4 linked regions of the Diceros bicornis minor genome follow. The main gene of each other region encodes a partner of the protein of the gene in region 4 in a complex. Links are inferred from orthologs where the notes say so. Each region holds a gene or a part of one and is shown on either strand. Other genes may lie near its edges. The genes, in order: STX7, VAMP7, BET1L and BNIP1.

Region 1 (7,999 bases), on a different chromosome or scaffold from region 4:
ACTGTAAAAAAATATACACATGGACAGACAGCTACCTACAAATTGACTTAAAAGTTTATCTTTGCATAGAGACTTAAGCAACCAAGTTATTTTGGCGCCTGCTTCCCACATCAGTCTCCAGCACCCAGGCCAGAGCTAATACACACCACAGTTCTCTTGCTGAGTACTTCCGAAAGCCCATTCAGAATCCCTTGTTTTACTGCTCAGAATAACAATAACTCATTATCTATACCTGCACTATCAAGTGTTCAAATATCACATGTGTGGCCAGTGGCTTGGCCAGCTCACGTATAGAACATTCCCATCATAGCAGAAAGTTCTATTAAACAGTGCTCATCTAGACATCTCAATAATTACCTTTCTATGAAGATATATAAACACTATGAAGAGAAAGAAGCAAAAAGAGAATCAAAGTGCAATACTGTCCTCTGTTGGTATCCTTGGGAGATTGGTTCCAGAAAGCCCACAGATACCAAAATCTGGGGATGCTCAAGTCCCTTATACAAAATGGTGTAGTATTTGCACATCCTCCCATATACTTTAAATCATCTCTAAATTACCTATAATACCTAACACAATGTAAATGCTATGTAAATAGTTGTTATGCTATATTGTTTAGGGAATAATGACAAGAAAAAGAAGTCTGTATACGTTCACACAAACGCATCCATGTAGGCCTTTCGATTCGTGGTTGGTTGAACTTGCAAATACGGAACACTCGGATACAGAGGATCGACTGTATTCACGAGCGTCCTCTCAAGACTTTCTAAAGAGCACAAATGAAAGAACAAAGGGAATTTTAACATGGAATCATGACTGTCAAACACCACCCCCAGTTACTACTGGACACATGCAGAATCCTTAAGATTCTCATGAATCTTCCCATGAAGATTTCCCTGAAGAAATCTCACTCTCTTAGGGCAATAGAAACAGTTTCACTTTCTTAATGGTGAGCACCAGCGTAAAGCAACAGACTTCCATCCACCCCGTGCCCCAAAATGTGAAGTTCCCAGAGGGGTAGGGTTTTTTTTTTTTTTTTGAGGAAGATCAGCCCTGAGCTAACATCTGTTGCCAATCCTCTTCCTTTTTTTTTCTCCCCAAAGCCCCAGTACATAGTTGCATATCCTAGTTGTATGTCCTTCTAGTTCTTCTATACGGTACGCTGCCTCAGCGTGGCTTGATGAGCACTGAGTAGGTCCGTACCCAGGATCCGAACCGGTGAACCAGGGGCTACAGAAGCAGAGCACGTGAACTTAACTGCTCCACCACCAGGCTAGCCCCTAAATATGACCATTTCTAAGACACTGAATTCCAGGGCCTTCTTTCAGATCCTGATGTCCCAGGACGATTGCTGCCTGGGGACCTTGCTGGGTGCTATTTCCTATCCCTAGAAGGCTCTTCCCACGATCCCAGTGACTGGCTCTTTTCCCCAGCAAGCTCTCATCACATGCTAGAAAAGCCTCCGTGACCACTGCCATGTGAAGTGAGAGATCACCACCCCGCCACTCTCTGTTGATCTCTCTAACTTACTGCACCATAGCACTGATCACCATTTAAAACGATCTAGTTAGTATACAGTTTATTATCTACCCCACCTCTGGAATACAGACACGAGAGAGACAACCCTGTCATCTTGTGGAATCCACAGTGCAGGGTGCACAGATGTTCCGTGAATGTGATGGCGATCCCTCTCCGGACACCAGCATTCTCTATAACTACACTAACCGCATTCTTGAGCTCAGCTCCTCCATCCGTTAACCTATTTACTACTTGGGTTTAGGTCACAACACTAAGGATTATTTTTCACCCTTTCACACACTAATCTTTCAAATTAAATGGAATCAGAGGCAAACTTTACTCAGACTTACTGCAGGTGTTTCATAGAATTTATTTTTCACCCACAGCACTTGGCTAAAGTTTGGGATCATAACCAAAATTAGGACTGACTGTGTTATGGGGAGCAGAAGTAAAATATCTGAGGAAAAATGACACAGATGTTGAGTTAATACGGTATTATATTATCTTCTTTGAAACTAAACCGTAATTCTTAACTGGTCACAAGTCAGACGCACTTCTCAAAGTGGCCTGCAAAGCAGAGGCTTGTCCACATCACAAGACACAGTTTACCACATCAGTTATCGCTCAGGCCACCCCCAGAAGACACGCCCACCTCCAACATTACTGAACCGCAGAGCATTTCAGAAGCATTTTCTTTTCTTCCAGATTCTGTGCCAGGTTTAAATTATATATATTTATAGTCAGAATACGTTGATCTGAATTAAACAAAAATTACTGCATGTATATAAGAGCCAAGCAAATCTAAGACACTCGAGAGAGAAAAATACAGCAATTGACCAGAAAGGCAATGTTTTTTTTTTTTCTTTTTGTTTGAATTTAAAGAAACTAACAACCTAAAAAACAAGGGGGGAGGGGGCAGCTGGAAATATTTTATATATCTGTCAAGGTCTTTATGTAAACCAATTAATGACAGGAGCTGAGAGGATCAAAGCAAGTCAGCGTGTCCCAGTCATCACGCCAAATAGGAAAACGGCGACAACGAGGCTCGGAACGAGCGCACAGGGCGCCCTCGCCGCCGCATTTTCAGTTCGCCTCCAGCGGGAGAACTTTTCTCCCGGGCGAGCGAGAAAGAGGAAGAGGTCAGCCCGCGGCGCAGGCTGGACTCCCGAGCCGCCCGGGCGGGCTGGGCGCCGCCCCACCCGGCGCGGGCGCGGCCGCGGGGCCCGGGGCGCGGGGAGGCGGGGGCCGGCCGGGCCCGGGGGCACGCCGCGCCGGCCCGGGCCGAGGGGAGCGGGCGCCCCGGGGCCGGGCAGCGCCCGCCGCACCGCGCAGGGCGGCGGCCCCTGACCACGCGCGCCCACCAGGAGGCGCGGCAGCCCCGGGCCGGCGCGCCCCCGGGGCGCAGGGACCCCCGCCCCCGCCCGCTTACCCCGACCTCCTTGGCTGCCTCCTCCGCCTCCGGCCGCTGGACCCCGGACCCACAGTCCGCAGCCACAGCTCTCAGCTGATGGGCGGTGGCGTCCAGACGCCCACTGCGCATGCCCGCGATACGCCTGGGAAGGAGGCGGCTCCTCCCCTCCCATTGGCCCGCGGAGCGGAGTGACAGCCCTGTCCCGCCCCCTCTGATTCTAAGCTGAGGGATGGGGGGACCAGCAAAATTGCAGAGCAGGTGTTCTTCGAGGCCTGACGTGCCGAGGGGGAACGCCTCACCCTGCGTGCAAAAACAAGAGGAGGGAATGCAGGGGAGCTGTCTTCTTTATAGGGTGATGCCAGCCTCCCTAGCCTCGCGTCTTCGGCCCGCCCCGTCAGCTCATGCCTGCTTTGTTGGCTAACCCTCAACTGCGGTAGACTGTATTCACAGCGCCATAGAGAGTGCGCACGCAAATAGGCAACCCCAGCAGGAACAATGAAGGAAAAGGGAAATCATGACCGTGTGCTCACTTGGTAGACAGGTGTTCGTAGCACATACAAGTCATCCTTGAAGGGCAGGGCGCAGTTTTCACAGTGTTTGAAGAGAGCAGAGAATGTTCTCGTAATAAATGCAGTATTCAAACAGAATGTAAGTGTTAGATAAACAGCATCAAATGCTTCAGGTGAAAGAAATACCTCAGCAAATTGGTTAGAAGATAGATTGGCTTGGCTTTTGCCTGTATTAAGGCAACACTATTTTCTGAAAGGATCATCAGGACGTCAAAACTCCAGATGCACTTAACGGGAAAAAAAAAAAAAAAAGAACATTTTGAGTTGAGCAAATTCTAGGTTGTTTGGAATTATACATGCATATATACATAAGTAAGGTCAGCCTGGGATAAGAAATACAAGGGTCTCGCAGTTTGTTTTTCATTTTTCTACTTTTAACAGAGAAGTGGGAAAAAAATATTTCTTTCTCCTCTTGACTGAAGAAAACTACACTGCAAGTGTGATAATGAGCAGAGACTTACACTCTGCCTCGGTGGGGAGGGGGCGATGGACGGAGGTGGGCACACTGGCCAAGCGGAAGGCACACACCCCATCTTCAGGGACAGCAGGATTCAGCTAAAGCTGATTGCAGACTTTTAGGAATACTGGCCCGATACGCAGTAGTCAAGTTTTCCGCCTTGTCAAAATACAGTGGAAATTCAGATTTTTATGTGAAATCTCTCCTTTCTTCAATATTCTTAAATTTGTATAATATATTCTGTGATCAGACAAAATATGTGTTTCAACCTCTATAAAAGGGAATAGTGTCAACCACAGAGTATGAAAGCTGGGGAGGCCCTTACAGAAAATCCAGGTACACTCCCTCACTTCACAGATTAGAGAAACTAAAACCCAAGGAAACTCCATCAAAATCACACAGATAAGTATAAGCAGCACAGGTCCAGATGACCTAGTTCGGAATCTTGAGTTCTTCCTACCATATCACTCATTCAGCAACTACTCACTGAGAACCTGTCATCTGTCAGGTACTGTGCCAGGCACTGCAGGTATGAAGATGGGTAGGGTATAGTGTTTTCTCTCAAGGAGTGAGATCCCTCCCAGGACACTGTAAAAGGAGCTATGATAAAGATTTGTACATAGCACAGTGAGAGTCCAGAGACGAGGATGCCTTACTGTGGGGTCAGGCACCACTCCAAAAGGAAAGTGTTAACAGAAGCTTGAAAGATGTGTAAGAGTTCACTGAGAAGACAAGGTGGGAAAGGACATTTCAGGCAAAAAAAGAAGCACATAAAAATTTATAAAATCATAGGCAAATGCAAACTCTTAGGGATCTCTATATGTTTATTTAGATAAACTGTAGTCAGTGGATTGGAGGGATACGAGACTGGAAAGGCAAATAGAGTTTATATAGTGAATGTATGTATGACATACACCTATCTACTGGGGCTTTGGGGGAGAAAAAAGGAGGAGGATTGGCAATAGATGTTAGCTCAGAGCCAGTCTTCCTCAGCAAAAAGAGGAGGATTGGCATGGATGTTAGCTCAGGGCTGATCTTCCTCACAAAAAATAAAATAAATAAATAAATAAATAAATAAATAAATAAATAAATTAGATATGGAGAATGAAAGAGATGACTCCTACTCTTAGGACACGCAAAACTGAGCTGAGCATGATATAGCTTACTGAGATCCAAGACTACTAACAAAGTAATTGTGGTTTGAGGAAGGAGCTGGTGAAATGAGGGAGTGAAGTGACAATAAGTTGAGCTTTGGGTGTGTTGTGTTTAAGTTTCTGGGGAAGGGACATCCAGTTTGAGATGTCCAGTGTCCTACAGGTACTTGAAGGTGTGAGCTGGTGTTCAGGATAGAGCTCTGGTTGGCACCGTGGGAACAGATGAGCTCACTAACTCTAAGGAAGGAATGTTATGGACTTTCTGTGTTTAAGGGAGGGTAGAGAAAGAGAAACCCTGAAAAGGAGTAATCAGAGACATAGGAAGTAAACTAGGAAAAGGTGAACTAGAGAATGAAGAGGGAATGTTCCATGATAGCACGTGTCACAGAAAGTTCAAGTAAATTAAGAACTGAAAGTTGTGTATTGGACTTGAGAAGTAAGAAGTGGTTGGTGAACTTAGGAAGAGGCATTTCAATCAATCAAGGAACTATCATGCAAAGAACTTACATCTACATAAGGTCTGGTACACTTTCCAAACATGCTTTCAAGTTACCTTTGCTAGAACCCTGGGCTGTGGGAGGGGAAGGCATGGTGCCCTGTAGAAGAAGACCCTGAGGCTACGTGGCCTCTCAGGTTACCCTGCTGGTTACTGCCTGAACTGGAACCACAGCTCAGAGCCTCCTCCTGGGCTCCTTCCAATTTCTCATGTCTTAAAACATGTTATGAGTGGATTCCTCCAGGTCTTTTGAAAATCTGAGAATAAGACTTCATCCCTTTGTAATCAAATGGAAAAAAATATAGTTTAGGTAAGCCTGCAAAATTTAGAGGCATAGAAGATAAATAAATTCCCAGAGAGTTCCTAACATTTATAGTATCCCTTCTTTGCATCTGCCTGCTACTTCGTGAAATTCAGCCAGGGGCCTTGAACCCAGGCAGGGCTCAAAAATTCTGCTCATTTAACAAGTAATCATTTCACTTCTCCCCGAACAAATCCTTTACACTCGCAGGAGTGACCTGTGTCTGAAGGCTTGTAATTTGGCTTTTCAGACCCAGTAATTTTGGGAATTTGGGTCTTCTTGAAAAGATTTTGAAGTGCAATCAGAAGTCAGTCAAGTGGTAATTATTAATAAATAAATAATAAAATTAATTAATGATTACTTATTTGTACAATGTAAAGTAGTTTCAGAATTGCTAACTCATATTCCTATGAGAGAAAAAAGCAAAAAACCTTGAGTACAGTGTTGATGGAAAATTCTTTTTGTTTTTAGCCTTACATTATTGAGTCGAGACAATGTTTTCCAAAATTAACCAGATCAGTTCTTTTCCCTACCCCATTCAGTGAAGTTATGTTTTATGTTTGTATTGCATTTAGATTTGTTTGTCATGTGTCTGCATTTCATCTGGGGTTCCTCAAACGTACTAGTTGATTTTTTTTTTAATTTGCATAAAGTTCACACTTTGTGGCACATAGTGCTATGGATTTTTGACAAATGCATGCAGTCATATATCCATCACCCCAATACCTTTGTGGGAGATCAAGATTTGGCCACCCTGAAATATATCTCTTTACCTTGATTGTTTTCTCTGAGGGACATTTGACCTCTCCCACTAACTGCCTAAAGAATTTGAGTTGGTGGCTCCTTCCTGGAACAGATCTTCTATCATCATGGCTGTAATGATAATGTAAAATAGATGTTACAATGGGAGGGGCACCAAGCCCCTTTTATCAAAAAACTCTCTCTCTCCCTGACCACATTATCTATAGATGAACCTGAAAAGAAGAATTGTCTTCTTGCCCTCTGAAGTCCCAGACCACTACCCACCCCCAACACCTTCCTCGCCTTTAGCTACAATACTTAAGCAAGCAGCTTAGACAGAGGGACGAGTTGCTCATTTCTGAGTTTCTCCCATGTATACATGTTATTAAACTTGGTATTATTTTCTCCTGCTAACCTGTCTTGCTAATTATTTGGCCAACCATAAGAACCTTACGGGAAAGGGCAGAGGGGGATTCTCCCTCTTCTCCCACACCTTACAGGACAGTTTCATCATCCTAAAGATTCTCTTTTGCAGTAACTTTTAGCTAACCACCTCTCCTTCCCCAACTCCTGACAACCATTCATGTTTTCTGTCTCTATATAGTTTTGCCTTTTCCAGAATGTCATACAAAGTGGATTATACAATATGTAGCCTTTTAGGTCTGACTTCGTTCACTTAGCAAAACTTAAGATATTTAAGATACTTCCACATTGTTGCATGAATCAATACTTTGTGGCTATTTTTTTATGGCTGAGTAGTGTTCCATTGTTTGGATGTACAATTTATTTATCCATTCACCTATTAGTTGTTTCCAATTTTTGGCAACTATGAATAAAGCTTCTATAAATATTTACATAGAGATTTAGATAAAAAATATAATTTTTCACTTCACTTGGGTAAAGATCTAGATGGGGGATTATTGGGTTGTATAAGTACATGTTTAATTTTATAAGCAAGTGCCAAATTGTTTTCGAAAGTGGCTGTATCATTTTGCATTCCCATCAGCAATGAATGAGGATTTCTGTTGCTCTAAATCCTCATCACCATTTAATATTGTTAGATTTTATTTTTTAATTTTGGTCCATTCTAATAGGTACATAGTGACATCTCATTGTGGTTTTAATTTCATTTCCATAATAATGTTGATCATTTTTTATATGCTTATTTAAAATCCATATATCTTCTTTAGCGAAGTGTCTGTTCAGATCTATTGCTCATTTTTTATTGAGTTGTCTTCCTATTGTTGAGTTTTAACAGTTCTTTATATATTCTGGTGCTTTTCAAATATGCCATTTGTAAATATTTTCTCCTATTTTGTAGCTTGTCTCTTCATTTTCCTTACAGTGTCTTC
Region 2 (7,304 bases), on a different chromosome or scaffold from region 4:
AGATGCTACTGGTTGGCATAACAACCGAAAGGTCATGAGTAGTATTATTTATAGAGGAAAATGCATCCAGAGTTTCAAACAATAATCTTACAAAGGAAGTTTTGGAATATAGCCATTTGTAAGTAAGGGATTCCCTGTATTAAAAGAAATTGCTAACAAAATAGCACAGCAATGATGCAAACGCTCCTCCTCAGTGGAGGCATTTTCAAGTGGAGGTTGAAGACAGTTTCACGGAACTGAGTAGGGAAAAAGATCAAGTCAGTGTTTCTCACACTCAAGTCCATGTGCTTTGAGAAATTTTTAATTCTGTATTTTAATTCTGATAACATTAAAACATGTATATGAATATTCTGGATCATCTACATGTATACCTTATAAATGAGCAATGATCCACAATTTAGTGCTACATTTGCATTATGAAGGCACAGGTGCCAAGAAATGCCCTAAAATGATAGTGCTTAATTTTTAATGTCTTGGAAGCATGTCTGGATGCTCTTAGGTTGGCACATCCTAAAATCATAATGACAATCATGACTCAAGTCTTGTATTCCTATTGTGTTTTTTAATCTGTTATAAAGAGAGAATTTATCTTTTGCAGTAACAATTTACAACTGAAAGAAATCTGCATGGAAAAAAACTTTAAGAATTGAGACTTTTATCTGACATTCTGAAAATGACAACGTAGCAGAATAACATTAACACGTAAATTATCTCAGGCTAAGGAGAAAATAATACTCAAAGATGTGTTTGTATCAAGTGGAAACCAAATAATACCATAACGTGCTGTGTGAATAAAGGTTGTGAAACTGTTCAAACAGAAAAAAGAAGTGGAAGAATTAACTCGTCACGTAGTACATGGTAATAGTCAATGCAAAATTAAAAGAAAGCATTCTGAATCATTATTTATATTATTTAAAGGAGATATATTACGTTAATCCTTGCAACAGTTCCTTAGCAGAATGTTTAATAGGAAATAACACAATGGAAATTAAATCTTTTCCACCCCTGTATCATGGGGCATACTATTAAACTGGCCCATTAAATTAAACGGGGGGGCATGGCAGGTGCTCAGAAAAGAGATGAGAACTCATTTTAAGATGGAGCTATGGAACAAGAGAAGGCATAGAAGTTAGAACAAGCTAGGGAAGGTAAACAAACTAGCCTGATGAGATGGAATGATTCACATTTGTTGAATGAGAAAGTTTAGGGATAAGCCTAATGGCCTTATATAAAGAAGGCCTTGTATAAATTCATTTGGATTGGATCAAATAGTTTTCCTATTTCACTTCAACACATATGTTCTGAGGGTTTACCATCTGGCAGTCTATGTAGTAGACACTGGAGGTATGAAGATCAGTAAGAAAGGACCTCTATACTCAAGGGAGCCATAGTACAATGGGGAATACAGACATAAACAAATAAATGCAATAAAGTGTAATGAGTGAATAATCTACGAATGTACACAATTATTCAGGAGATTTCTTAAAGTTTTGTGATTATCTCACCTTGGATGAAGAAAAAAAGAATGCAGGTGTCAGCCTATGTATTAGGAATTTCCTTAGTATGCTGTTACAATTATTTCTCTTGGAAATGGTGTCAAAGCGTCTATTTTATCCTCACTAGGTTCCCAATGCCCAGTACAGTGCCTGGCATATAATAGTCCCTCAAATATTTGTTGAACAAATGAACAGACACTGAGCATGTTTTGGTTTTAAATATACTATAAATGACACATAATTTTATATTTAGTAGGACCTGGCAAGAAGAGTATTTTGATTACTAAACTATCTCCCTAAGTAAGATAAAGAAGTTGAGCTGAGAGTAATCCAATCCCCAACTCTTCTGCCTGGGTCTTAGGAAGAAATAAGCCAAGGACTGATAAACCACCAATTCTGGTGTAATAATCTTGGAAGAGACAGAAGAATGAAGAACAAACATTGATATAAGGCTCTGAAACCCAATTCAATCTCCTTGACTTTCTCAGGATAGGAGCCAACCCTGCCAACAGTCAATCACCTGTTCTGTTTTGCAGTAACCACCACCACCATATAACATCATCTTGATTATTCCTGTTTGCCCACACCCACATACAAACTTGTAAGCTACCAAGAGTAGCGATCTCCTATGTCGTTTCCAGCTATATCTCTTGCACTTAGAAGAGTGTCTAGCACATATTAGCTGTTCAGTAAATATTTGTTAAACATATGAGTGAGTCTGCTTTCAGCCACTGCTATTCAAAGGGAAAGAATGTCCCAAACATGACAGTATCCTCTGGGATCAAGGGTGAGACAATGGAGGTACAGGCAGTTGAGAGCAATTAATAAGACAGAAAGAAAAGGACTTGATAACTGATTGTTTGTGGGGGTTACGGGAGAGGGAGATATAAAGTATTTACCAATGAGTCTAGTACACAGAGTTTGTTAAATATTGGCTGATAACAATAACAACAACATACATGTCTGACGCTGAGGAAATAGCACTGGGCGGAGATACAGAGTTCCTATCCGACCTGAGGAAGAAGATGAACGTTAACACCGGGCGGTGGAAGAAGGGCACGCAGAGGGCTAGAAACCCACCAAGGAGCTCAGAAGTAGGAGGTGAAGAAGACAGTGACGTCATCGAAACAAAGGCGTAGGGAGGAGTTTTCAGAAGACTCAGGAGATCTCAAGAGATTCAAATGCTACAGAAAGGTCTTGCAGAATGCGAACAGAGGGAAAGTTAACATTTTTCCCCTCCTGTAACAACAACTTAAGTGACGCATTCTGACACTATTTAACTAGAGGCCTTCTCAGCGGCATAACGCACTTCGCCAAAACTAGACCTGACCGACAACTCGAACTGTCGACATCAGAGAAGCCCAAGTCACCCTTGCCCTGCCTCCTCGCTCCACCCCAGCACCTTCCCGTCGACACCTCCACCCTCCCTCCGGCGTCGTCTCCCCGCCTTCCGCCGAGTGCGCCCCGCTCCATTTACCTGTCGGGGCACCCTCTGAGAGCGCCCGGGCTCAGAACACAGGAGCGCGGGTCAGCACGAGTTCAGCGAGTGTCCGCTCCCAGAGGAGGCTGGGACCGGACGCCACCGGCTTCCGTGTAAAGCCCCCCGCCCACGCGCGGCCTCCTGGGAATGGGAGCGCTCCTCCAATGGGAGCGTGTGGCGGGGCGGGGCCTACCGTGTTCCCAGCCCCCGCACTTCCCCGGAGCCGCACTGCATTCCGGGAGTGGTAGTTCCGACTGGCGTATTGTCGAATCTGTCACCCGCTGGGTCAACAACTTTTGTCGTAAACAACATCAAGTGCTGTTCCTCCGGGAAAACGAGAGGATGCAGAGCCACAGAGAGTCCACCAGCATTGAGTCAGCGGGATAAATGTAAAGCCTAGCTTTCCTCGTCATCTCCCCGTTTAGTCTCAGCAGGTAACGTGGCCCGTTACTTCACAGACGAAATAGAATTCATCTGACAGGCACTCCCTCTACTTTCGCTACGAAATTTTCTAACCTTGCACCCCTCAGCGATCGTTTCTCCCATTCTTTTGCAATAATAATAATAATAATAATAATAATAAAAACCACTCTCTTTTGATCTAAGCTCCCCCGTCCCCTTTACATCCCTATTCCTTCTTGCCAACTCAAAAGCTAGCTCCACTGATGAACCCTTCTGTCTCAGGACTCAACGGCTCCCTGCTTACTCGCTCTTTATCAGCATTTAAAGACTGTCAAAGTTTCTCTTATCTAAAACATTCCAAACTTACCTTTGTCAACCTCACACCCCTCAAAACCCTCACCACACACAGACTTAACCTTGGGGTCTTTATCCCACCTCTCCTTTCCAGGCAAAATTCTCAACAGTGTTGCTAAAACAAATAGATACTTTTCAACCATTACCATACTTCAACTCTGCAGGATTGTACGTTCATTATTTCCTGCTTCTTGAAACCCTCTGTCTTAGTCAGTTTGGGCTGTTTTAACAAAATACCACAGACTGGATGCCTTAAACAACAGGAATTTATTTCTCACAGTTCTGGATGCTGGGAAGTTTCAGACCAGGGTCCCAGTATAGTTCGGTTCTGGTGAGGACCTGCTTCCTGTATCCTCACATGGCAAAGAGACATCATCTCTCTCACATCTCTTATAAAGGCACTAATCTCATTTATGGGGGCTCCACCCTCATGACCTAATTACTTCCCAAAGGCCCCACCTCCAAATACCATCACATTGAATATCAGGGCTCCAACATATACATTTGAGGGAGGGGGAACACAAACATTCACTTCATAGCACCCTCTATTCTCTTAGCTCTTTCTAAGATGCTGTACTCTCCTGGCTTCCTGCCCACTTCTGTGGCAACTCCTCATTTTCATTTGAAATGTTCATGTTCCATAGGGCTCTGCCCTACACTCTCTTCTTTTCTTACTCTTCACACTTTTCTTGGGTGATCTTAACCATTCCCATTGCTTTGGTTGTCATCAGTATGCTGATGATTCCCACATATAGGAAGCCCCAACAAGACTCCTGTAACCCAGACTGAAATATCTAATGACAGCTGGGCAGCTCTTTCAAGTACCTAAATCTTAGCAGTAGTCCTCAGTTGACTTAATACATTTCTACTCTCCCCTCTCCCATAACCGGCTCCTCTTTCTCCTCTAATCCCATCTCACTGAATGGAACAACCATGCAATCAGTTGCCCACAGCAGAATGCTGGGTATCATTTTTAATGCTTTCCCTCCCTCAAAGCTCACTTCCAAACAATCAGCAAGCCATATTAATTCTATCTCCTAAATATCTCACTTGTCAAGCTTCAGTTTTCTCATTTTTAAAATAAGGATAATAATAGTACCTGTCTTCAAGGATTGTTGCAATGATTAATGAACAATAGTGCCAGGCAGAGAGTAAGCACTCAAGGACAATAAGTATTTCTTGAACAAGCATTGTATTTGTAATTAGTTATCCTTCATTAGATCTTACATAATGATAGCATTTACTTTTATTTAGTTTATATTTAGCAAGAAAGAAAAGGAAAAATCAGAAATGGTGAGATATTTTGTGCAAGTTACCCCCACTCCACTCCTCAGTATTTTTCCAAGCATGACAAAAATATAGTACTGGTCATAAGGCACTATACACATGGTTCTACTCTAATATGTGCAGGATATACCATACTTTATTTATTGTTATCAGTTCTTAGGGGGCTATAGACAAACTGAAGTATATTCAGAGAATCCTGACTAAAATGATCCGGGCACTAAAAATCAGAAGTAATGTCTTTGTACCTATAGTATCTCCTTCACCATCCCACCCCTGCCCCCAACTCCTCATCGCTTGAGATTGCTCTATTTAGAACAAAACCTGATCACTTCAAAATCCTACTTAAAACCCTTATTGGTTCCCCATTATATGCAGGGTAAAGCCTAAGATCTCAACACAAAATTCATGGCCCGCCATGATCTGACCACTCTCTACCTCTCCTGCTTCATATTCTGCTTCTCTCACCAACACATCCTGTGTTCAAGCCTGCTCTTCTGTGGTGGAATTCACTCATTTATCCATTCATCCATTCCTTCAACAAATATGTACTAAGTTCCTACTATGAGCCAGGCCTGCTCTGGATGCTGGCGATATAGCAGTGAAGAAGACAGAAAATGTCCCTGCCTATATGGAGTTAATACTTCAATACCATGCTCTATCATGCCTCAGTGCCTTTGCACATGCTGCCTCTCCTTTCTATATCTTATTTATTCTTCAGAACCGATCTCAAATATCACCTCTTCATTTTCCAGAAAAGTATATGCTTCTTTTTTCAGCTTTATCCACCATCTGCAAAGGTTTACTTTTCATATTAATATTAAATTTCATTTTATTCAATACCTATCCTTTGAGAGACAGCATAGTATCTTAGAAAGTGAATGGAGTTTTGGAGCCCGACAGTCCTGAGTTAATAGCTGTGTGAACCCTAAATGTTGCCTCAATTTAGAGAGTTTAAGGCTCTATCAAAGCTCCTCTTCTTACTCGATATTTTCTCCTAAAGTAATCTCATCTGTGCTCCAAAATTTGTATCTCGAGCACAAGCCTTTATATTGGGAAATCAAGGAAGGTCTCTCTGAGGAAATATTTAAGCTGAAATCTGAATGTCAAGAAGGAAGCAGCCACAAGAAGATAAGAGAACATAAATAAAGCCAGAGTGACTAGAGGGTAGTGGAAGTGAGGGGAGAGTGGTAGGAGAGGAGATCACGCGGGCCTTCTTTCTACTCCTCAGATACCCCAAGCTCCTTCCCACTTTATGATCTTTGCTCTAGCTCTCTCTGCTTGGAGTTCTGTTCCCTCTTATCGTCTTGTGGCCAGAGGGTCTTGCAAGGCTGTGTAAGCCAGGAGAGGGAGTTTGGATTTTATTTTAGGTATAATGGGACATGATTAGAGAGGTTCAAGCAGAGGATTGATATCATCTGATGTATGGGTTTTTAAAAAGTTATCTGGCTTTAGTTAGCATGCCAATACACTGTATATCCTGGTAATAAATTAATATGTACAGTTTTCAAAATATGTTGGGTAGTTTCTAAGAAAAATACTTCTGGATGTGTACACTAAAGTACATGCAGAACCATTTAAATAGGTGGCTTTATAATTTTATAATTTTCAAATTCAGAAGTTCTGTTACCATTTCATCAAGTTACTGAAGAATAGAATCTCTTTCTTTATAATCCATGATTTTAGATAGTTTGAGTTTATGGAGTAAAGGTTTCAATTTCCATTTCAGTTCCTGCAGCTACCAAGCCTGGAATTATAGAACTGATGATTTTGATAACCTAATCCAGTCTCCTAATTGTACACATGAGAAATCTTCTGGTCTTGACAAAGATTACAAAGCTAAGAAGAGATGGAGCCCAGATTACAAACCAGCTCTTATGTACTAGATGCTCCAGAAATGTCTATTGGGCTAAAATAAGATACATATATCACACAGAGCTCTAGTCATGTCTGGGAGACCCTGGTTTTACATTCTGCTTATCAGGATTGGAACCTGATGTGTTATTTTGTGGTTCACAAACAAATCTAGTGACTGTTGCTTTGGCATCAAAATCATTCACATTATTGCAATTTATCACTGCTCAACAGTGCTGTTTATGCTTCTTTTTTCCTGGATATTTGGACTTGGGCAACTTTTCTTCCTGTTCTTCTATGCTCAAAACAGACCTACCTCAAGAATGCCTGTTCTCCTTTGATATTCACAATCAGCGGAGGGAGCTACCATGTTATCAATGTCTACAAAATCACCAACATTTGAGTATGGCACAGTTTGTTTCTCTTTGTGGCTC
Region 3 (7,512 bases), on a different chromosome or scaffold from region 4:
CTTTAGCCTGCATGATGTCTGCAAGCTCCCACAGGGGCTCTTCAGAGCCCTGGACGGCCAATATCCTATGGTGCAGTCGCAGGAATCAGGAAGCCTCTGGCTCGAGGTCCCTGTGGGTCCCCTCAGGGACGTCTAGGGACAACCAATGCTCGTCACCAAGGGCTGCCCGTGCACAGAAACACTAAGAGTCTAAGATCACAGGCAGGGACTGGGGGCTTCTCAACACCATGCCAGAGAGATCCATAAAGAAATCTAAAAAGCAGACTCTGAAAACTTGTTTCCTTGTAGTAACCAGAAGCGAAACCTTCAAGTGTGTGTGTAGGAGTGTCCACATGCTTCTCAGGGAGGACGGGTCTGGCTTCCTGCCTGGCTGGACCACAGAGCAGCTGGAGGATCACCTGAATCATACTGGCGAGCTAATCTTCACTCACTAACGTGGACGGCACAAAAGCAGTGACCACAGCTGCTCAGGAAGGCCAAAGCCAGAGCCATTGGGGAGCCCACACAGCAAGTCCCCTCTGCCTACCTGATGCAGACGCTTCTCCAGGAAGCTAAGGAGGACACGAATCACATCCATGTTCACTCCCAGGAATTCCAGGGAGCCTTCGTGTGGCTCCAGGGTGAGGAGGACGTCCAGACACTTGAGGGGCAAGTTCCCCAGGAGGTTCACCGTGTGGCTGAGGACAGACGGGGAGAGGGGCTTGGTGAATCCAATCCCCCAGCACAGGCACAACCCTTGGTACCTCCTGCTGGGGCTGCATGTGACGTGAACCAGTGTCCAGGGGCCTAAGGAGCAGCACAAGGGGCCCGAGCTGAGGAGAGGACTGCTCTCAGGGGGCACTCCTGCTCAGTGGAGTGGGTCCCCGAGGAGGGGGGCACTCTTATGCAAACACCTCACCTATGACCCTCTGTCTGGGTTGAAGCACCACAGACCACCTCTGGAAAACCAAAACCTGCCTCCAGGGACAGGTCACCGAGAACAGGAATGAGGAACCTACACTGCCCTGTAGATACTACACCATCCACTGCCCCTGCCTAAGGTCCTGGGGCACACTCCTGTTCCCAGACTCGTGGCTCTCGTCCTAGCCATGTACTCTAAGTGCCAGAGCTCTCTGGAAACCCACTGATGTCTAGTCCCACCCAGATGGGTAAAGACTCGCTAGGGTGGAGCCTTGTCCACAACCATGGCTGGCAACCACCATCTAGACACGTGAGCACACTTCCCTCCCAACACAACAGGCCCCACCCTCACCCGTGGAACTCCTCTGTACGGTCTCCAGCAGCAGTGATCATCACACAGTGCCGCAAAAGGGTTCCCAGGTGCTGGTAAAGGGCAGCATCTTCCTGACCAAAGAGTAAGAGGTTCCTGTGAGAGAGAGCCCCACTTGTCCCCCTGCTGCCAGCTGAGATTCCACCGTCTGCCCCACTCCAGGACCAAGTGCACCGATTACACATCTCCCCCACTGCACACCCGGCCCCTCCGCCTCTCCTACACAACCTGAAAAGCACTCTCCTGATTAAGAACGTCAACAGATGTCCTTGGGATTGAGTCACACTCTGTGTTCTGACCCCATGCTCACAGCCTCGTGATTGGGAATCTCCTACACTGTCCCCATGTATCACACAGCTCTCCTGCCAGGCTCCAAAAGCCAAATGTGCTCTCCACCTCCCTCAGAAACCTTCCTTGGGGCCCCTACCCAGGCGTCTCCTCGCCTCCTCCAGTCTTCTCTGAGCCTAACACCCTGAAACTTGAAGGCACCCAACAGGGAAGCAGATCCAGGAAACATTCAAGCTGTTAAGCCCCACCCACGGGTTCAGATCAGCTCTCTTCTTACCTGGTCCACCTCTCTCTTTATGGAGTCGAAAGTGATGTTGAAGAGCACTTTGAGAATTTCCATGGCCCGCTCAGTCTCCTGGGGAGGAAGGAGCGCAGGGGGGCTCTCTTCCGGGCTCATTCCCAGGGTCAGCTCCAGCGCATCTGTCAGCAGGTGCACTCCCCGCAGCTCCTGAAACAGCTGCAGGCGCACGTCGGTGCGAAGCGCAGTTAGCAAGAAAAGAAGGCGCAAATCAAAGAACTGGACGTCGTGAGGAAAGCTGCTCTTGCGGTACAGCCCTACGCGCTCTGCGAGTCTCACCACCAGGCGAGCCTCTGCTGCCAGCACCTGTGCCACCGGGCTGCTGAGCACGAGGTTGCACAGGCACTTGAGGGACTCGAGGACAACGTCCATGTCCAGGGGCTCGGGGACCGAGCCCCCGGAGGCGGAGATCCCAGCATAGCAGGCAAATGCCTGCAAGCTCTGGCGGCTGGTAAATGGGTCCAGGCAGCTGCGGTCCCTGGACAGGATGCGGATGCTCTGCAGCCAGGTGACGCGGCGGGACGGTGGCAAGCCCTGCTCCAGGACCGAGGCCAACAGCTCCGCCAGTCTCTGTGGGCGGGGAGTAGAGCGGCTCCACCAGGCTCCCCGACCCGGGGCCCCCGTCTCTGCCCCTTACCCCTCGGTCAGCACCCACCTTCCTGTCCTCCTGCTGGGCGTCATCGAATGTGAAGCTCTGGGAGTTCTGCAGGGAAACCCAGGGGCTCATGGAGCGCAGGTCCGCACGGGCAGATCCCGGCCTCCGAGATGAGGCCCGAGGCTGCAGGCGCCGCTCCGAACAGATGGCGCCCCGCACACCTGCCCCCAGGTGCGCACGTGACTCCAACCAGCGACTCCTCGTAGGCTCGGCGCCCCTTCCTGCCGCTCCCTTCCACCCTCGGGCCCCGCCGCAGTCACCCACCCCTCCGCCGGCCGCGCCCACCCGGCCCACCGCCTCCTTGCGCGCCCCACGACTCCCGCTCACCTCCTGGTTGTACGCGAGCAGAGCCTCCATAACCACGTTCTCTTCCCCCGTTTGCACGGCATCGGCCACCGCCCGGGGCTCCATGGCGTCTCCAGTACTTGGCGCCCGGAAGGCGGGACGTGGCTCCGCAGCCCCGGGCCTGAGTCCGCCAGCCCCGCCCTGGCTCCGCGCGCGGGGGAGGCCGGGACGGGGCAGCGCGCGCCTTAAGGTGGCGCGCTTTAAGGTGGCGAGACTTGGAACAGCCTCCTAGAGCGTGAAGGCTTTGCCGCCCGGGCTTCAAGATCCGACTCGGTGATCGTCCGACCTCAGGTCCCGAGACGCCCCCGAACCGAAGAGTGACCCTCGGGAATTCTCGGGCAGGAATTCCTGGCGGAGACGACCTCAGCCCCACCCCCCGCCCCTCTTGATGAACAGGACGGACAGGATGTCGCGGGTACAGCCACGGTGGGAAGGGCTGCCAGCCCCCGCACCACTTGGTTTGTTAAACGGGCGTTTGGGCGCCTACTACACGCGAGGCGCCGTGATGCGGGCGAACAGGACCCGCGGACCCTGCCTTCGCGGACCTTATGTTCCCAAGGCGAGGACAAACAAGGACGATTTTAGGCAGGCGGTGCCGTGACTGGAAGAGGAGAGGCTGCTGGGCTGCAGAGAGGTCTGAGGTGCCGGACGAGAGGGGAGCCAGGAAGATCTGGGGACGGGCATTCAAGGCACGGGGGAACGGCCAGGTGGGAGAGAAACGGACCTCGTTGGGGCTGAGGAAGGCTTACGGTCAGGGTCAGGAGGAGAGCAGAGCTCCACAGTGCGCGGCGGCTCCTCGCTGCGCAACCCAGACACACGATCGGCCTGGACTCAGGCCTCTTTCTCGAAGAGCAGAGAAGACCAAAGTCGCCCTTCCAGTGGGTTGTCGGGAGAACTCAGTAATACAGCGGATGCCCCCGCAGTGGCGGGCGACTTGCCCTGCAACAGGCGCCGGTCGAGCGTCCACTCGGCCGGGCCCTGGGTCGGCGCCAGCGCACAAGCAGCAGCCCCACCCACTGTCCGGCTCCCCGTCCTCGTCGGGGGCGTCCCGGGCCCCGAGCACCACCTGGTCCGCCAGCAGTCACCGCGCCGCAGCCCGGCGGGCCGGGGGACCTCGGGGCCGGTCCCTCGGCGCGCCCAGCCCCGCCCGTCGCCCGGGAGAGGGCCCGCGAGCTCCTCCCACTTCGGGCCTGACGCCGTCCCGGAGGCGTGGCTGATAGAGGCGTCTGGACACCGGAGCTGGCGTTAAAAACGCTAACCCTAGGCGGTCCTAGTCAGGCGGAGGAACCAACATCAGGCCACTTCCGTCCCCACCCGGGCGCCCTGCGCCCCGCGGCCGGAGCCTCCGCCGGAAGTCGGCGGGCGCGCGGCGGAGGGGGCGGTGACCTCCGCCGGAAGTAGGCGGGGCCAAGGCGGAAGCGGCGACGCCGGAAGCTCGTTCCCGCGGCTGCGCCACGTCCGCCGCGGCAGGGGCCGGGTAGGCGACGGAGCCGGGGCCCGGAGCCGGCACGATGGCGGACTGGGCTCGCGGTGAGCGCGGGAGAGCAGAGCCGGATGGCGTCGGGGCCGGCCGTAATCGACGCCGCTGCCCGCAAGAGCTGCGTCCGCGCGGCCCAGCCCGCTGGGTGGTCTCGGCGGGGAGGCCCTGCGGGCGCTGGCGGCTGCGCTGTGGGCGGGTCGTGGGGTCCCTGCGTCGCGGGGCCCGGCTGCCCGGAGTTCGTACCCCTCTGTCCCTGTCAGATGGTTCTGCTGGCACCCCGGCCGGCCTCACGGTCGCGGAGGCCAGCCCCTAGGAGGGAGGCTGCGTGGTGGGAGGGCAGCCCCTTCGCCCTCTGGGAGCCCGTGTTCTCGTCTGCGATGTGGGATGCTGATGCCTGTCTCGCCGGGCTCTTGTGACCGTTGAGAAGTTAATGAACGTGAGGGGGTTGGTAGAACGCCAACACTCCTTCCTTTGGCGTCTGTATCCATCTGTGGTTCCTAGAGCTGCACCCCCATTAGATGGGTCACGTGGAGGCATCTGGCCCGGGGCAAGTTTGCACTCGGAACTGGGGGGACGCGGTTCTCACCCACCTGATGTGACAGTAATGCCGAACCGCCTGGCCGCTCCCTAGTCATGGGACCGGTCTTAGCAAGCACTGTGCTCGGTGTCATATAAGGCCCTGGGTGGGGTGCAGAGGTGAGCAGGCCCAGGCCCTGCCCTCGGGATCGACCTCAGCGCCCCCGTTTTTGGGTGTTGGGGAGCTGTGCTGAGTTGTCTCCTCCCTGGTTACCTGTCATCTCTTGAGGACCGAGTTCACAGGTCGTCCCTGCAGGGGTCTTCCTGCTGCCCCCCCACCAGTCTTTCCTTGGTCCATACCAGAGTTTACTGTTTTTCTCTGGGAACAGGTCTCTTGTACGCTGATAGTAATGTCTGTGGAGGGATGGTGCAGGTTCTGTCACAGAGTATCAGAAAGTGCCGGTTGGGCTGATCCTTTGAGGCTGTACATGTTGGGGATGCCTGTCCACCCTGGCCTGGATGTGTACACAGGACATGTGGTCACGTGATGGGTGCCCGCACACGCTGTTGTTGACACAGCCTGTCTCACGTGTGTGTGAAGTCCTTACACCGGATCCTGGGTTAGGGCTGGACTTGTTCATCAGACACAGGTGGGCCTAGTCCCGCCAGATTCCGACTCAGGTATATGGGATTGTAGTGAGAGAGTCCTGAGGCCACGAAGGGCTGACATCCAGGGGTCAAGGGCAGTGCTCATGGGTGGATGCACCCCTCAGCCTCTCTTTCTCCTTGCAGCTCAGAGCCCTGGCGCTGTGGAGGAGATTCTAGACCGGGAGAACAAGCGAATGGCCGACAGCCTGGCCTCCAAGGTCACCAGGCTCAAATCGGTCAGTGGTGGTCCTCCTGTTTCACCTCCACCTGGCACCTTGGAGCAGGGATCAGAGGGAGGGTAGAGGCTTGGAAGGGTTTCATGTAGTTCTCATCTTCCTTGTCCCATCCGTGGCAGCACTCTCTTGTGTGAGGCCTAGGTGATACCTGGACCTCCTGATCTCTGCTGGTGGTACTGTGTCTGGCAGAATCGTTGGTTGGGTCTGCTGGTCTCATGGAGGGTCAAGCACCATCCAGTGTCTTCCCTGGCCTGACCCTGCCCCCTCTGTGTCCTGATCAGCTTGCCCTGGACATCGATAGGGATGCAGAGGACCAGAACCGGTACCTGGATGGCATGGTAAGGGTCTGCAGCGTGCGTGAGTGTTTCGGTCAGCTCTGCCCCACACTGCCTGCTATATAGGTCCCCAGTGTCTCCTGCAGCACTCTCCTGTGGGTCTTGGAGGGTCCACCCCTGTGTGATCGTGTTGGGATTCCTCCCTCAGGACTCGGATTTTACAAGCATGACGGGCCTGCTCACGGGGAGTGTGAAGCGCTTTTCCACAATGGCGCGATCTGGGCGAGACAACCGGAAGCTTCTGTGCGGTATGGCCTTGGGACTCATCGTGGTCTTCTTCATCCTCTCCTACCTTCTGTCGAGGGCAAGGACGTGAACCAGTGGGAGCTGGCGTCTGTGGGTGCACAGGGCAACCAGCATCTTCCTCTACCTGGTGTCCTGGGCTCCAGAGGACCTTCCTACAAAATACTCCTTTGGAACGATGATCGTGGCTTAGGAATCTTCTTCCTGTGTGGCTGGGAGCCCATGGCTGCTTCTGGCCCAGTGAGATCATGTTGGCTGTCCCATGTTGCTGGTCCCATGCAGACATGGGACCCTTTCCTTTGGGGAAACCAAGGCCCAGCACCCTCTGCCACTCCAGGTGCTAGAGGTGCCAACAGAGCCAGGTCTGAGCAAAGGAGCTAGGAATCCTGGACGTGGCTACCTGTGGTCAGTCCTTCCCCCAGCCCTAGGGGCTCTGATGTCTCCAGGCACCTCTGCCCCATCCTTGTCTAGGTAAGGCCACGTCTGGTGTCTGAGGTGCCTGGAGCTGATAGAGAAGGGGTGTTTCTGTGAAGCTCCAGGCAGCACTGTCTGTTCCAACCGACAGTCTCAGCCTAGAGATGGTGGTTATTCCTGGCCAGGGGTCCTGAGCATGGGTGGACCAGTGAGGCCTCTGTGCCTGCTCTCTAGTCCCATGGCTGAAGCCAGACCCTTGGGGAAGTGCAGGGGGTTGTGGATGAGGAGTGGGCTGCAGCCTTGGCTGGAGGCACTGGGCCCGGATCCTTCTGGATTTTGTGGTCATGTATTCCAGGAGCAGAAATTCATATTTTGTCAGGATGCGGAATCTCCCCAGCGCCAAATATGTGTTTTTGGAGACTAGATGTCTAGAAACAGGCCCATTTGGTATTTCAGAGTCAGTCAGGGTATGGGAGTGAGGGGGACCTTTTGTGGGCCCAGACAGGAGGCTTTCCTGTAAGGACTTTCTTCATAGGACCTGTAAGTCACTTCTTGAGGATCACCAGGCAGTTTTTCCTCCACCAGGCCCAGCCCTTCCTCCCACAGCAAGTCTCTCCTTGCTGTGAGGGAGGTCTGAGCCACACCCTCCTCCCCAGCGTCTGCAGATGGCCCTCCCTGCCCCCCTCTCCCAGGGCCCTCACTGCCCACTTGGCCAGCCCCGTGCTCACACCAACTGAAGCACAGGCCCAGCTGGATCACTCGCCTCTTCTCTCCCCACAGCAAG
Region 4 (7,515 bases):
AACAGTAGGAAAAAAACCCAGGAGACACTGGTGATGGATTGCGGTGAATGGGCTGGAGAGAGTGCTAGAGAAGAGAAAGCAGTTGAAGTAGCTTCAGAGTTTTCAAGTTGAAAAATTCCAGGGACAATGGTGTCCCTGCCATCCACTTAAGACAGCTGGCAGTGTTAACTTGCTGTTAACTTGTTAACACAGCTGGCTCTGCATGTAAAAGTTCCTCATTTTGACCTGGATAGCAGGTTAGTACAGTCACCCTGGCTGTCTAAGCGTTCACTGAAGAACCTGGACAGCACGCAGGCAGAGGTGAGTGCCAGGACCCAGCCCCGTTCACTGCTGCCCATTCTCAGCATCCCAGTTTTGCAGCCACTCACCTGTATTCTGTGCCGCAACTGCTGAAACTTCTCTTTCACTTGAGTATTCAGTTCAGTGAGTGCGCTTAATGGTCCTGAACAGTCTCGAATATCCTAGGAGACATTGAAGAGATGAGAGGGTCTTTCTTAAGGCAACGAAATGAAATGACACCATCTGTACAGTGAGAGAGTTGGTGTAGACCACACCTAAGGTTGGCCTACTGACTGTAATTCATCCTAATCTTTGCTCTTTACCTCTGCAACACAAGCAAAAACATTATCATTTTCATTTTTCTCATCCTTCTTTAGATTAATTTTGAGCAGGTAATATAAAAGCATAAAAAGAAAAACAACTCTATATACAAGAGAATACTACTCAGCCATAAAAAAGGAATATTTGCCATTTGCAACAACATGGATGGACCCTTAAGGTATTATGCTAAGTGAAATAAGTCAGATGAGAAAGACAAATACCATATGATTTCACTCATATGTGGAATCTAAAAAATAAAACAGGGCCGGCCCCGTGGCTTAGTGGTTAAGAGTGCACGCTCTGCTGCTGGCGGCCTGGGTTCGGATCCCGGGCACGCACCAACGCGCCACTTCTCCCGCCATGCTGAGGCCGAGTCCCACATATAGCAACTAGAAGGATGTGCAACTATGACATACAACTATCTACTGGTGCTTTGGGGGAAAAAATAAATAAATAAATAAAATTTAAAAAAATTAAAAAAAATAAAACAAACACACAAAACAAAAACAAACTCATAGATACAGAGAACAGACTGGTGGTACCAGAGGGGAAGGGGGTTGGGGGACAGGCGCAATGGGGGGACAGGATCAACTGTATAGTGATGGATGGTAACTAGACTTACGGTGGTGATCACTTTGTAGTGTATACAAATATCAAATTATAATGTTGTATACTTGAAACTTTTATAATGTTATATACCAATTTTACCTCAAAAAAAGAAAAAAAGAAGGGAAGAAACACAATTCTGTCTTGACTTACGAGTTCCTAAAGTTTAACAAAACACCACCTGGCCAGTATGAAAGGCTTAAAGCAGCTTGTGTGTCCAACAAGAATGGACACCCAAAAGTGATCCTACAACTTTAGATTTTTCCAACTGGAAAACCAGGATGCTAAATTCCTGGCCTAATATGACAAGACTAACATCTTATCTGATCTTTCAAACCACATATTATAAATCACAGTGTTTACAGACATGTTCAATTTAGAATATGATTTAGAATTTGTTTCTGGACATTCAGAATTACTAGGGCCAGGATTTAGAGCAGGCTCTGGAGCTAAACTATGTGGATTCAAATCCTGGCTGAAGCAACTTATTAGCTGTGAAACCTTGAAAAAGTCATTTGAGTTCTCTGAGCCTGAGTTTCCTCATCACAACATTACCTAGCTCACAGACCACGGATGTATGTGAAGTGCTTAGCAGAGGAGCTGGAACAAAGTAAGAGTACAATAAATCTAGCTATGATCAATCTTTCTCATTAGCAATCACGAGAGCCCAAATGTTAGAGAGTACAAAAGGGGATTTAAGCAATTTAGATTATGTGAAAAAGTGATTTCATTTGTATAAATCCTAAATTTATTTTACTAGAATTGGCCCAGAAGTTTTGTAGTTTATACATGGGAGACATGAAGTTCAAGAAGTTAAAATGTTTGCATCAAGTGTCCTCACTTGTTCTCTGGCTCACTCGTAAATCACACTTCCTTGCACCCTACGATGAACCACTTATTTGGTTTATTTTGCGTCTGGTTTCCCTGAGGAGTCCTACTTTCTTTCGCTTTTTGTCGAAGCTAGTTGCAAACTCTGAGTCTACATCCAATGCTTAGTAACATTTGTTGGAAATGGAAACGCTTTCCCTTAAACCAAGCTTTAAGACTCTTGGTTTCTTTTTGCTAAACTCAAGGAACCATTTCTCCATTCCTACCTCTTGCCTGTGTCAACTGGTTTATTGCACTACTGCCTTCCACCCTTAAATGGCCTAAGGCAACGCACCTCAATTACCCTATTAAACCGAGGAGTAGAGGCTCTCTAAGTCCCTTCTCTAGGCTGACTTTCACTATCTGCCTTCTGACCTAGGCCTTGGCAGTCTACGTGATTTCCTCATTTCAAAATCCCCACTACGGTCCAGGTTACGTTCATTTCCCCGGTGCTTCCAGCGCCAAGTAGCCTTGGGTGCCACGAAGCACGGGACCAGCGGAGCTGGCCAGCAGGGGGCGGGGCTCATGGTCCCAGGAGGCTACCAGATGATGGAGAGGGCGGTGTCAGAAAACAGGGCCAAGCAGGGTGACAGGTATGTTGTGAGGCGCTCGGGGGCGAGGCGACGATCAGGGGTATGTGTGGGAGGGACCAAACGGGGCCACAGGGGAAGCCTGGTCAGGGGCGGGGGACCCGGGGGTGTCCCGGAAGAGGGCGAGCCGACAGCACTGGATGGAGGATCAAGGCCAACGGTCAAGGGGACGGGACTCAAGCGTAACAACAAGGGGATAGCCGGCCATGGCGTGGGGCCAGCGACCTCGGAGACTTGACCAAGCGGGGAGAGCTAGGGAGTGAGACCACCGAGCTCACAGAAGGCCAGCGGAGCTTGGACTTAGGGACGCTGGGGCCCGGCAGCGGTCTCGGGAATTAGTACCTGGATAAGCGCCTTCACCTCCAGGTCGAATTTGACAATTTCTTGGTTGCAGATCCGGACGTGGACATCTTGGGGAGCCGCCATGTTGGGGACGCCAGCTACGGGCAGCGACAGTGCCCAAGTGCAAACGCGTTCTCGCGCCCCGGCCTTCCCTCCCCGCCCGGTCTCACGGCAGCGCCCCCTAGAGCCCGGTCTGGGGCGTGCGAGGGTGCCGCGCTCGGTGCTGGGGACTTTCCCTGACACGTCGGGGACTCAGCCTCTCCTCTTGGCGTGATCCTAGTAAAACGCAGAGGAAGGGAAGAGGGAATCGAAGAGCGTTTTAACAGCGTTTAACGTTCCCCATCTTCCGCCTATCAGCCATTCTAATGACTACATATTTTTTACATGGGCGGGGGAAAGGCTGGAAGAAAAGTATCAATTGGGATATTTCTGGAAGGTGGAATTAACAATTTTTTGTATTTCTTGAAACTTCCTTGTGTTTTCATATCTTCTACAGTGACTATGAATTGTGGAGTAAAAGAAAAAATGGTAAACGTTGTTATTATTACTTTTTTTAGTGTCTGGAATTCAAGGCAGGCCACTAGTCCAACACATGGTCCGAGGGATCTTTCTAAAACGCGTAACTAATCAAGTCACCTCCCAGCTTGGACCCCTTCTATGGCTCCTGGCGGTTCCCTTTTGTGTACAACTGGATTTATTAAGTCTACATCACCCGAGTAGTTTTGGTGGATTAATGTAGTTTTGATGGAAATAATTAAGAGCAGACCCTCAACAAATGGAGGCTCTTTCATTTTACTTTTATTATTAAATAGTCCCAAGTTTCTTAGCTGGTCCTCAAGGCCATCAGCCACCTCACCCAGCCCCACCTCCTCCCGAGATCCTTCAAGCTCTTTTTGGATATGTAGCCTTGGAATGTGCTGTTCCCTGTTCTTGAATGCTTTTCCCCACTTGCCCCCAGCCCCATTCACTTTTGTTCACTTCAGTTCAGCAAGCATAGATTGTGACACCCTGAGGGCCTAGCTGTGTTTCTTTTAATCCGCACAACCACGCTTGAAATAGGTGATACTCCAGTTTTACAGACTGGGAGATGGACTAAGAGTAGATCAAAACAAAGCAAAACCGGACATCCCTGCCCCACGGTACCCAACTTGAAAGTGGCAGTGCCTTGCCTGAAAGCCACATCTTCCCTTAAGAACCAAATATGGCCTTTGGGTAGTGTACAAGGGGGGCTGTGTGCTCGCCTATCTGTGTTCCTCCAGCACGCCGCACACCCTCCCTGAAGGTGTTCATCACCCCACTGCACCTAATAGAGAGGCGGTGTATTGCAGGCTTGGGCGTCTGCCTTGGCTTGAATCCTGCTCCACAACCCACTTCACATCTCTGTGCCTCAGTCTCCTCAGAGGCTGACTGGGGGTAATCACTGGCTTGGTGGGAGGGTGAAATGAGGTAATACATGAAAAGCACCAAGCACAGTGTAGTAATGTGGCATGTGGTAAGAGCTCTGTGTGCATTAGCTGCCATTATTATATTACTAACTGACATTTTTGGAGCACTTCCTATGTGCCAGGCACTTTATACTAAATGCTTTATGTGTATCATCTAATTCTCACAACAACTCTATGAGGTAGAATTAACCACATTTTACACGAGGAAACAGGCACAGAGAGAACAATGAGTTGCCCAATGCAAATGGAATTGCTAGGTCAAAGGATATGTGCATTTTAAATTTCTGATATATGTTACCAAATTGCTCTTCGTAGAGGTTATATCAGTTTACACTCCCACCAGCAATGTGGTATAAATGCCTACTTCCCCAGGGCCTCACCAACACAGTGTGTTAAACGCTGGGATTTTTGCCAGTCTGATTAAGTGAAAAATGCCATCTCTTAATTTGCATTTCTCTTATCATGAACAAGCTTGAGAGGTATTTGTATTTACTCTATTGTCTGCTCATTTCTCTATTGGGTTGTTGGTCTTTTTCACATCAGTTTCTAGGAGCTCTTTATATATTAGGAGGATTAGCCCTTGGAGATGAGCTTTTTCCCTAGTCTATAAAATTTTGACTTAGCGCATTTAATTTTTGGGAGGAGTTCTATAATTATGTTTATTTCCAATGTTTGTTATCACCAGATCTGTGTTTCCTATTATTTTTATAAGAAGATTATTTAGCTCTCTTTGTATTATTGGTTTTTCTTATGGCATATGGTAGCCAAAGTTGTATGAGAGTTAAAGGAAAATTCCTAAGAAACTGTATAAGCCTTTAGATTGCTTCTTACTTGGGACAATACATTTTTCTAGTTCTTACCAAGAATAACAACTTCCACTTTTCTTTTAAACTGCACTTTTTTTTTTTTTTTTTTTTTGGTGAGGAAGATCAGCCCTGAGCTAATATCCACGCTAATCCTCCTCTTTTTGCTGAGGAAGACCGGCTCTGAGCTAACATCTATTGCCAATCCTCCTCCTTTTTTCTTCCCCAAAGCCCCAGTAGATAGTTGCATGTCATAGCTGCACATCCTTCTAGTTGCTGCATGTGGGACGCAGCCTCAGCATGGCCAGAGAAGCGGTGCGTCGGTGCGCGCCCGGGATCCGAACCCCGGCCGCCAGTAGCGGAGCGCACGCACTTAACCGCTAAGCCACGGGGCCGGCCCTAAACTGCACTTTTGACCTTATTTTTTTTTTATGGTATATAAACAATAATTTATAAACATGATGTAAAAACCCATCGTGTTTTCTTAGACTTTTGATATTATTTGATATGGTACAAACTTTATTAAATCAAGATTCAAGACCTAAAAAAAAAAAAAAATTTTTTTTGACTTAGCTTATGGTGTTTTTTGGCCTTAAAGAAGTTTTAAGTTTTTTATTTTTGTTTAACATAGAATTTATCAATCTTCATTTATGACTCCTGGATTTGGGATCCAAGTTAGAAAGGCCTTCCTCACACTGTAGGGGTTTAAAGGAATTGCCCACATTTCCTTCTAGTGTTTTTACGGTTTTTTTTTTTTTTTTAAACATTTAGATCTTTACCCATTTTGAAATATATGTTGGCTTATGGGGTGAGGTATAGAGCTAACTTTACTCTTTCCAGAGTGTTACCCAGTTGTTCCAACACTATTTCCTGAAGAATCCATCTTTTTCTCACTGATTCTGGATGCCTCATTTACCATACTGAACTCTTATGTTTGAATTTATTTCTAGACTTTCCATTCTGTTCTATTGGCCTGTCTATTCACTCATGCACCAAAATGACACTTTTAATTATTATAGTTTTATGTGTTTTAATAGGTTAACATGAACACTGCTTTTCTTTTTTTATTCCCCAGCATCTTGCAGCTATTATTTTTTTCCCCAGGTGAACTTTTTTTTTTAACCCCCTGGTATGTTTTAAGATGGCATTAAATTTTTTAACTTAGGAGGACTGACAACTTTATGTCATTGACTGCTCCTGTTCAAAAACTTGGTCTGTCTTTCCATTTGTTCAAGTCTTCTTCTGTGTCCTTCATAATATTTTAAAGTTTTCTTTATCTAGGCCTTGTACATTTTCTGTTAAGTTCATTCCTGGTGATGTTTTAAGACTAAAACCTTTTAAAGAAACCAAGTTTGACGTTTTTCAGGTCACTCAACTGTTTTGGATCCTCAAATAGAAGCTCCCTATTTAGGACAGGAAGAAGCCCAAAGTCTGCAGGCAGCAGATCTGCCCACATGACCTTGGGCCCCTTTCACATCAGGCTTCTTGCTGGAAACTCCTACGCAATCAACAGTCCCCAATTGCCTCTCAATGCAGCAATTAAAGAAAAGATAGCTCCCTTTTTCTCCACCCTTCAACACACTCTCTTCTAACAGAGCCCCAATTCTAAGCCCTTAAGCTAGAGGCCATCTTTGAGTGATAGACATGCAATTTGGTGACCCACATCCCCAATTACTGACTACTGCCAACGCTGTTTTGCTCCCATCATCTTTATCCACTGATCCTGAGATCAGCTTTTGGTTACTACATCTGCTAGGTTTTGGCTTTAGTTCTGATTTTCAGATTCTAAACCCATTATTTTCCTCCTATATTGACATCCAACCAAATCGCCTGTGACTTGGCCTGGTCCCTTAGAGATGAGTAAGAATCGTCTCTGAGTGCGGCAAGCAGACTGGAATTTAAATTAGAGTTGTCTATCACATAAGCTGGGTCTGGGGTGAGTGGCCTCATCTGAGTCTCATCTGACTCTTCTGTAAAGTGGACATGACTGCTTACCTCACTGCGCCACTGAGAGCAGCAGCTGAGTTCCCTGATGGGAGAGCACCTAGCAGGGGCTTAATGAATGCCACCCTAGCCTTCTAGACTTTCTAATGCCCTCTTCCTATTCTGAACCTTTCAGCTGGGATATTAAAGTATTTCCCAACTAATGTCTTTCTTTCTGGCCAACTAGCTCTCCTGGTTCTGAAATCACTGTTGGTGAGGAGGGACAACTGAATGACCCACCTAACTGGGTGCTACCCACAGAAGGTTTAGTTTCCTAAG

What was found.
Region 1: BNIP1 (region 4) and STX7 share a complex: the UniProt entries of both Homo sapiens proteins name them as parts of the SNARE complex. The link is inferred for Diceros bicornis minor from reciprocal best matches to the Homo sapiens genes BNIP1 and STX7.
Region 2: BNIP1 (region 4) and VAMP7 share a complex: the UniProt entries of both Homo sapiens proteins name them as parts of the SNARE complex. The link is inferred for Diceros bicornis minor from reciprocal best matches to the Homo sapiens genes BNIP1 and VAMP7.
Region 3: BNIP1 (region 4) and BET1L share a complex: the UniProt entries of both Homo sapiens proteins name them as parts of the SNARE complex. The link is inferred for Diceros bicornis minor from reciprocal best matches to the Homo sapiens genes BNIP1 and BET1L.

What each region holds. Positions count from the first base shown.
Region 1 is NC_080762.1:5,448,452-5,456,450, reverse strand, and holds the start of STX7 (syntaxin-7), read right to left. Parts: upstream 3,038-7,999; 5' UTR 2,948-3,037; intron 1-2,947. UniProt on the Homo sapiens protein: May be involved in protein trafficking from the plasma membrane to the early endosome (EE) as well as in homotypic fusion of endocytic organelles. Mediates the endocytic trafficking from early endosomes to late endosomes and lysosomes.
Region 2 is NC_080781.1:139,858,719-139,866,022, reverse strand, and holds the start of VAMP7 (vesicle-associated membrane protein 7), read right to left. Parts: upstream 3,078-7,304; 5' UTR 2,974-3,077; intron 2,510-2,973; exon of another isoform or gene 2,456-2,509; intron 1-2,455. UniProt on the Homo sapiens protein: Involved in the targeting and/or fusion of transport vesicles to their target membrane during transport of proteins from the early endosome to the lysosome. Required for heterotypic fusion of late endosomes with lysosomes and homotypic lysosomal fusion.
Region 3 is NC_080770.1:18,000-25,511, reverse strand, and holds the start of BET1L (BET1-like protein), read left to right. Parts: upstream 1-4,405; 5' UTR 4,406-5,604; coding exon 5,605-5,736; intron 5,737-6,017; coding exon 6,018-6,074; intron 6,075-6,219; coding exon 6,220-6,387; 3' UTR 6,388-7,512. Other genes in the region: RIC8A (synembryn-A), read right to left, coding at 527-677, 1,253-1,344, 1,836-2,426, 2,512-2,559, 2,839-2,922. UniProt on the Homo sapiens protein: Vesicle SNARE required for targeting and fusion of retrograde transport vesicles with the Golgi complex. Required for the integrity of the Golgi complex.
Region 4 is NC_080740.1:86,935,958-86,943,472, reverse strand, and holds the start of BNIP1 (vesicle transport protein SEC20), read right to left. Parts: upstream 3,114-7,515; 5' UTR 3,090-3,113; coding exon 3,006-3,089; intron 462-3,005; coding exon 369-461; intron 1-368. UniProt on the Homo sapiens protein: As part of a SNARE complex may be involved in endoplasmic reticulum membranes fusion and be required for the maintenance of endoplasmic reticulum organization. Also plays a role in apoptosis.